Linked DNA regions of Saccharomyces cerevisiae S288C. The gene in region 2 interacts genetically with the main gene of each other region. Each region holds a gene or a part of one and is shown on either strand. Other genes may lie near its edges. The genes, in order: YVC1 and SBE22.

What was found.
Region 1: mutations in SBE22 (region 2) and YVC1 together harm fitness more than expected from each alone (negative genetic interaction), as found in Saccharomyces cerevisiae (2 studies listed by BioGRID).

The regions. Positions count from the first base shown.
Region 1 is NC_001147.6:485,411-489,340, forward strand, and holds the start of YVC1 (Yvc1p), read left to right. Parts: upstream 1-2,296; coding exon 2,297-3,930. Other genes in the region: TCB1 (tricalbin), read right to left, coding at 1-1,369. UniProt on the Saccharomyces cerevisiae protein: Required for release of calcium ions from the vacuole in response to hyperosmotic shock.
Region 2 is NC_001140.6:318,337-322,266, reverse strand, and holds the start of SBE22 (Sbe22p), read right to left. Parts: upstream 1,854-3,930; coding exon 1-1,853. Other genes in the region: putative serine/threonine protein kinase KIC1, read right to left, coding at 2,453-3,930.

The DNA.
Region 1 (3,930 bases), on a different chromosome or scaffold from region 2:
CATAAACACTAATGGTCAAGGGGTCAGTGAATGAGTTTAACAAGACGTACAGAGTTTCGTCCCAAACGGGGTTCAATGTGTCTCTTACGGTTCTTGTCTTGGCAATAGATATATCGTTAAATTCGAAAGATAAGTAAGGGTCGATTGATTCGTTCAATATCGAAGAGGTACGTTTTAGCCCCTTTGCATTTTTGACAGTTATTTCTAATATACCAATGGACAAGTTGGAACCAGATAAGAGTTGTGGAATGTTCAATTGTAAAGAAAATGGAGGTAACAAGATTGGACCCATATATTTCTTGGCCATCTTTTGTATTAGTGTCATAAGGCCTGGGATAGCTAAAATTTCCCAATTGAAGATGGAACGGCCGAATAAGGTAGCAACAAAATCAAAATCAGGAACCTTCAGTAGCTGGATATTAACAGTTTCGACATGAGGGAAGGGAGTCATCAATTTGAATTTCACTCTAGCATGAGCCTTGAAAGCAATGTCTGACACAGAAACAGGGATGGTGATACCAAAAATTTTGGCCTTAACAACCGCTAATTCATTAACGTAATTTCTGACTTGCTTAGCACTCATGTCGCATAAATCGTGAGGAGTAAAAGAAATACCCCAGTCCATCACAACAACATCGGATGCAGTGTTTTGGAAAGTCTTCACCAAATCAACTCTGGGGGGTTTAACACCAAGTGTCAACTCATCGATCCATAGTTGAGTAATAAATTTGGGAATCGCCTCATTAGTAGCCATTTGTTCATTAGCTTGCTGAACGATTAATTGACTAACGGAAGGTTCTAAAATGGGCCAGTACTTATCCAAAAAGGCATTCAACCATTCTAGGGATTCATAGTCGTTTTCCACTTTCTGCACCGTGAACTCTTTCTGGACTAACTCTCTTATGGAACCTCTGTATTTTTTAGCAGAGGTTCTATACAACAATGAAGTGATAACGATGACAAAAAAGGCCGACCCCATTGAAAACTTATAATGACCAAGTGCAAATGATGCCACGCCTCCGATAAAGAAAATGGCTACCGAATGATACCAGTCACCGTAAAGGCTGTCCGGTATGATGTTATCTAAGAAGGTTTCTCTAGTCATATCCATCAATTCATCATCTAAAGTTAATTCGTCTTTGTCTTCCCAGCCACCAATCTGTTTCCAGCCGACATAAGAAGCTTCATGGATACTTCTCTTGAAGCTTTCATCACTAGCATGTGCCGCCTTCTCAGATGACACGCTTTTACTGGATTCGGTTTCCTCTTTCGTCTTTGGAGGTTCTAACTTATCTATCCCATTTATGTTAGCTACTTGGGCTGTTTCGGGCTTCTTTGGTGCTGTTACCCCAGTATCTTCTTTGGCCATATTGTATGTACCACGCAATTGAAGTTTTCAGAATGCACTAGCTATCTTTTTTTATCTTAGCTATTCTTCTTCAATTATCCTACTTATTCTTCAGCAAAAAAAAAATAATAAGCTAAGACAATGCTATACAAGTCAATTACCAGCCAGTAAGTCCAAATTGGAGTAGCCAATGCTATTAGTTGATAATTTTGACGGCCGATTATACTATTCCAATTGCAGCAACATCCCTGTCCCTTAGCTTTTTGAGGGGCCTTTTGTTATAATTTTTCATGCAGCATTCCGGTCGCCAAAGTTGTTATCACTTCTAACGTAAATCGTTTTCTCGTTATGTCCGCTATTTTAGAATGAGAATAATGGATAAAATTGGCCTAAAAAGGGAGCGAGTATAACGTTACTGAGATACAATTGTACATTTTGCCATGGAAATGAGCCAACTAGTCTAATGAGATTTTCAATGCTTTATTTCTTTTTTTAGTTTCTCATTTTATTGTTTCTCTAGTTATTAGTCCTTTGGTTATTTTTATGTCACCACCTCTTGTCACATGACCATTTTTGTTACTTGCTTGGTTTTACAATGATTTATACATTCTTGGGCCTCTCTTGACATATTTTTATCGTCATAATAAGTTCTTCATTCGTTCTCTAAAACAACAAAGTTAGACTCCATGGCCAAGTTGGTTAAGGCGTGCGACTGTTAATCGCAAGATCGTGAGTTCAACCCTCACTGGGGTCGTTAATTTTTTAATTTTTCTCCTACACTGTTGCTATGTCGGAGTTATCTCATAAGAGCTGAAAATATGTGGTAAATTTAGTCAGTATCCTTCGAGGATCAGCTAGAGCCTATTCAATGCAATTGTCATTAATCAGTGGCTTGGTAAGGCAATAGAATTCAGTTATAAAATATAATATTACTAGAACAGGAGCATTATGGTATCAGCCAACGGCGACTTGCACTTGCCAATTTCTAACGAACAGTGCATGCCGGAAAACAATGGATCTCTTGGATTTGAGGCCCCCACTCCGAGACAGATTCTCAGGGTTACGTTAAATTTGAAATACTTAATTGATAAGGTCGTACCTATTGTTTACGATCCCAATGATATTGTTTGTGACCATTCTGAGATTTTATCTCCAAAAGTTGTGAAGCTGGCTTATGAAGCATGTGGCGGGAACCCTAAAGACAAGGCCAACAAAAGAAAATATCAATCTGTCATTATTTTTTCACTTCTTAAAGTTTGTGAGTGGTATTCCATATTGGCCACTATGGAAGTGCACAATGCCAAACTTTACGAAACCAGAAATTTAGCCTCACAACAGTTATGTAAATTGTTAATTGAAAGGGAGGAGACAAGAGACCTGCAGTTTCTTTTCATGCAGTTACTGCTGCGTCGGTACGTAATCAACGAGAACGATGAAGATCAAGAACCGTTGAATGCCTTGGAACTTGCCACAGATATGCACTGTACTACAGTGATAGGATCGAGTGGATTTCAGCGTTGTTTAAAATGGATATGGAGAGGATGGATAGTCCAAAATGGCTTGGATCCCACAACTTTTATCAAGGACGATTCACTGGCGGAAGTGTCATTGATCTCTCATTTCAACCCCGTAAGATTAAAGGCGCCTGTATACCAAAATTATTTGCAGATGATCTTCTCATTTTTGTTTCTAGGGCTTTATACCTTGGTGGTTAATGGTAAGGACTCTGAGAGAGTCCAATCTTTCGATTTGTTAGAAAGCATATTTTATGTTTTCAATACTGGTTTCATCTTGGATGAGCTCACTAAGCTTTATTATATTGGTTATGCGCACCTATCGTTTTGGAATTTATTTAATGATACCACATATTTGATAATCACGTTTGCTATGGGGTTCCGTGCAATGAGCGTAACGCCCCTTAATGCAAAATACTCTTCAGAAGATTGGGATAAAATATCATATAGAGTCTTATCCTGTGCAGCACCATTTGTGTGGTCGAGACTCCTACTATACCTTGAATCACAAAGGTTTATTGGGATTATGTTGGTTATCCTAAAACATATGATGAAAGAATCCATTGTATTTTTCTTCCTTCTATTCTTAATAATGATAGGATTCACTCAAGGTTTCTTAGGTTTGGATTCCGCAGATGGTAAGAGAGATATCACCGGACCCATCCTGGGTAATTTAACAATCACCGTTTTGGGTCTTGGTAGTTTTGATGTTTTCGAAGAATTCGCTCCCCCATATGCGGCAATACTGTATTATGGTTACTATTTTATTGTTTCGGTTATCCTTTTGAATATATTAATTGCTTTGTATTCGACTGCGTACCAAAAAGTTATTGACAATGCAGATGACGAGTACATGGCTTTGATGTCACAAAAGACGTTGAGATACATTAGAGCACCTGATGAAGATGTCTATGTTTCTCCATTGAACTTAATTGAAGTGTTCATGACACCTATCTTTCGTATTCTTCCACCGAAGCGTGCTAAAGATTTGAGCTATACTGTAATGACAATAGTGTACAGCCCATTTTTGTTGCTTATTTCTGTTAAAGAAACTCGGGAGGCTAGAAG
Region 2 (3,930 bases):
TCAATTTCCTTGTTTTTAGGAAAGTCTCCCATTTTTGTTAAAAGCTCCTGTAGCTCATGAAATGGTTGAATATAGTTTTTGGTAATAAACCTAGTCTTGCTCTGTAAAATTTCGCTGTAAATTGTTGACCTAGTTTCGTCACTAAATGGAGTGTCCCAAACCATTTTACTTAGGCTTTGTAAGGAGGAGTTTCTAGTTATATCTCTGTCCAATAATAACACATATTTTTGCCTATTTGTTTCATCTCTAATCAACTTTTCTTCTCTGTCTTTATTTTTTCCTAGTTGGTCAAGGGAAGCAACACTCATGCTTTTGTTAATTTGCCTTTCATGAAGCTTTTTTTCCTGGCGATCCTTGGGTGGTAACCAACTCGGTCTTGAATGGCTGACCACATCTAGTTTGTTCTCCGAGACAAGTATCAAATCTTCCATGCCTTGATTTTGAGCTTCTTTTAGTTCAATTGGCAAGAAATCGGAAGACTTTGTTCTTTCGGACAGCTTAGATCTTGAAAGCCTATTGGAAGAATGCAAATAAACAGAGGCTAGACTCTTGGTTGTGTCTTGAATGAACTGAAAATCAGTTACTTTGTTCAAACCTGGAATCGGAGACGTAGGCATCTCATTAAAGTCCAATAATGAGGCGTTTGATGTTGTACTCGCAAAAGAGATGTTCGAGTACCTATGATTTTGTTTTGTATAAGAAATTTCAGAGTTATCATTTACCAAACCTCCGGTATATTCTGATAAGTCATTCTTGCCAGCCAAGTTATTCATATCATCGGGCTTAGCAGACGCTAGAAATGAATTAGTAGATAATGATGCCATAGGAACGTTCCAAATCAACGAATCATCAACGTCTCCCTCTTGTAACTCAAGAATTTGTTCTTGACTATCATAAAATTTCTCTTTTCTTTTGATTGTATTTCTTAAATTCATCTCCGATTGCTCTTTACGAAGTCTGTATTTCTGAGACGGAGTTAATGGCTTGCAATTCAAAGGTTTCTGAGATGGAACGTTAAATTCTAATGACGAAGCCTCTATCCGATCACTTGAATTAGAAATTTTGGAGCTTATGCCAAACGTTTTCAGAATGCTGCTGTTGTTATAACCCGTAGACGAGCATGTTTGCGATTTAGCACGTGATCTTTGCTTGCTGTTCAGTAAAGATGACTGGCTTTTCTTCGAGGAGAACTGTTCTTGGTAAGAATGTCTAGATTTATTCATAGTTTTCTCTGCGGCTGTATCATCAAACGACATGCTTTTTTGCAGTGCCATTTTGGAACCGTCCGTAGTTGCTTCCACAATGGTATTATTGCTTGCGCTTCTCATTCCATTTCCATCAGCGCCTCTACCTTGAGTAGCCTTTTCCATCAATATGCTGGGAAAAGTATTTATTTTAGATTTGTCGGCATCACTGCCTTCTCCCTCATCGCTGGTATCTCCCAAGGAGGAAGATGCAGAAGTGGATGAAAATACCTCGGTAGTCTTGGTACCTATTGAGCTATTTGAAGCGGGACGTTCACGTCTTGTTTGAGCAGGGTTGACTTTTGGCGGTGGTAAAGCCGAGTTAACGAATGAATTTAGCATATTTCCCCCATTGCCGTTGTCGCTACAGTTCATGTTTGATAATAAATTCTCACTTGGTCTTCGAGCAATATCTAAGCCTGAAACTTTATTCATTGTATTGCTTCCAGCCCTTGACCTTCCTAAAGTTGTTTGAGACGGTGGACGTTGCACGTGGGATCCTATGATACTTCTTTGTTTAGGAAGCATCTCGCTGGAACGATCACTAGCCTCACCTTCTTTAAGCGAATGCAGATGAGCGCTTGTGCCTCGCTCCTGAATCGAGGTCATTTCTTGAGTAGCGTGGCAAGTTAGACCGTATTAACTAAAGATAAGGACAAATTTGAGTCGAAAAAGTATAAACACGATCACGTTTCACTCTTGAAAACGGTAAAGGATCAACGAATGTATTATTTTTTTTGGTTCTGCTGTATATGACCTTTTCGATTTCTTCTCCACTATATATGGCAATTCTGGGGTAACAAATACAACAATCAGCGTTACAAAAGGTATTTTGGAATGTTTACAGGATAATTATCTCTCTTACAGTGATGAGAATGCTAAAATTTCAAGTGGTAAACATTGGTTGAAACCTCCTTAGCGCTTTCTCAGGATTTGCGCTTCGCACGGTTTTTTCTTCTAGGCGCGTTTATAAGAAGAAAAAATAACGGAAAAAACAAATGGCGAGGTTTGGTAACTGCGCCATTTGCTTTCTTTGAACTAGAATAGCAATAAAGTCCGTAAAGCGCTAACCTTGCGCAGTCGAGTTCCATGTGGTGCTTAAAGGGACTTGTTAAGTTCTGTAGAAAATATATACTTTCACTTTTCTTACATCTTGCTTATTTTTCTTGAATATGTACATAAACAAAAGAATAAACTAGACGATGCTTTTAATGCTCATTATCCTTGATAGGCGTTGAAATAAGTTGTTCCTTTAAAGCGTGTTCAATGCAGGGCAAACCTTCTTCGAACATTTGTAAAAGATTTTCCAGTTCTTTCAGAACCTGGGGTTTCCTGTCTACCCGCCTCTGTTTTCCTGGCAGAAACGATTCTAAGTCCAAGAACATTTCCATTTGTAAACTCTGTGGAGGAGGACACATGCCAAAGCCTAAAGAATTAACCGAGTTTGCAGCTGTTGCGGCGGAACTCAGAATATGATTGAATTGTGTTCCGGATGGAATAGTCTGTTGTGAAATTGGTGCAGTCGTTGATGCCGCGGCAGAACTTGAAGTTGCGATAGTCGTAGAATTGGCTTTGATAGTAGTGTTTCCTGTATTAGCAGAAAGAGGAACACTGTTATTAGGGCCGCTGTTGTTGTTAGAGCCAACATTGTTGTTACCGATACCGGAAACATTGCCGGAAACAGATGAGCCAAGAATATTCAATGGGTGTTCCGAGGCAGAAGAGTTCTTCCTGTTAGAAATGCTTTGACTTCTCTTGATCTTGCCCCCAAAATCAATGTGTTTCTCACTAATTGGAGTCATTGAGACAGGGATGTTGGACGCACTGCTTGTGTTAAATCCAAATTGATTAATATTTTCGTTCGTGGATATGCCAGCGCTCCCCGGCATGCCATTGTTATTCTGTGAGGTTGCTGTATTTGGATCAAGAAGTTTATTTCTCACAACAGGTGTAGGTAGTGGCATTTGTAGTTTTAAGTTTGGGTTGTTGCGTTTAAAGTCACCATTGACCCTTGAGCCTTCCTTTTCGTTGGAAAAGTAGTTTGATGAGGTTAAATTATTGCTGCTATTACCACTAATAGTGTTAAGTGTAGAAGAACTAGGTATGCTGTTCAGAGGTTGCAAGAGAATGTCCTTGTTATCTTTGCTATTGGCCATTGGTTTCATCGTAGGAGGAGGCGCGAGGTTCGTGTGAGTAGAATTATGACCAATGTTTTGGGTTGGGGAACCGGCAGGCTTTCTATTGGGAGAAGTTCCAACTCCAAATAGTGGCCTTGAGGGTGAAGAAGCCTTATGAGTAGATAACTTTGTTACATTACCTGGATTGGTTATGCCCATTTGTGTGCTATTTGCAGTGTTACTACCGCTGCTTCCTCTTGAGTTCTCACTATCAGTGTTGTTGTTATAGTTATTACTGTTGTTCGGAGTGGAGCTGATTCCGGAATTAGAAGCAACTGCGGACCCCAATTTTTGATTTGTTATGGTGCTTGGGCAATGTTCTGGCCTATTGTTACTGACTGTCAACCGCCTGGGCACGTTTGAAGGTGATTTATATTGTATTGAGCTAGATGACGAAGGAGTGCCAGCCGTCACTGTAGATGACCTGGCCTTTGTGCTTGGTATTAAAACCGGATCTGCGCTCGCAGGCGTTGGTAGAGCACTATTCGGTAGTTCTTCAGGAATTTCTA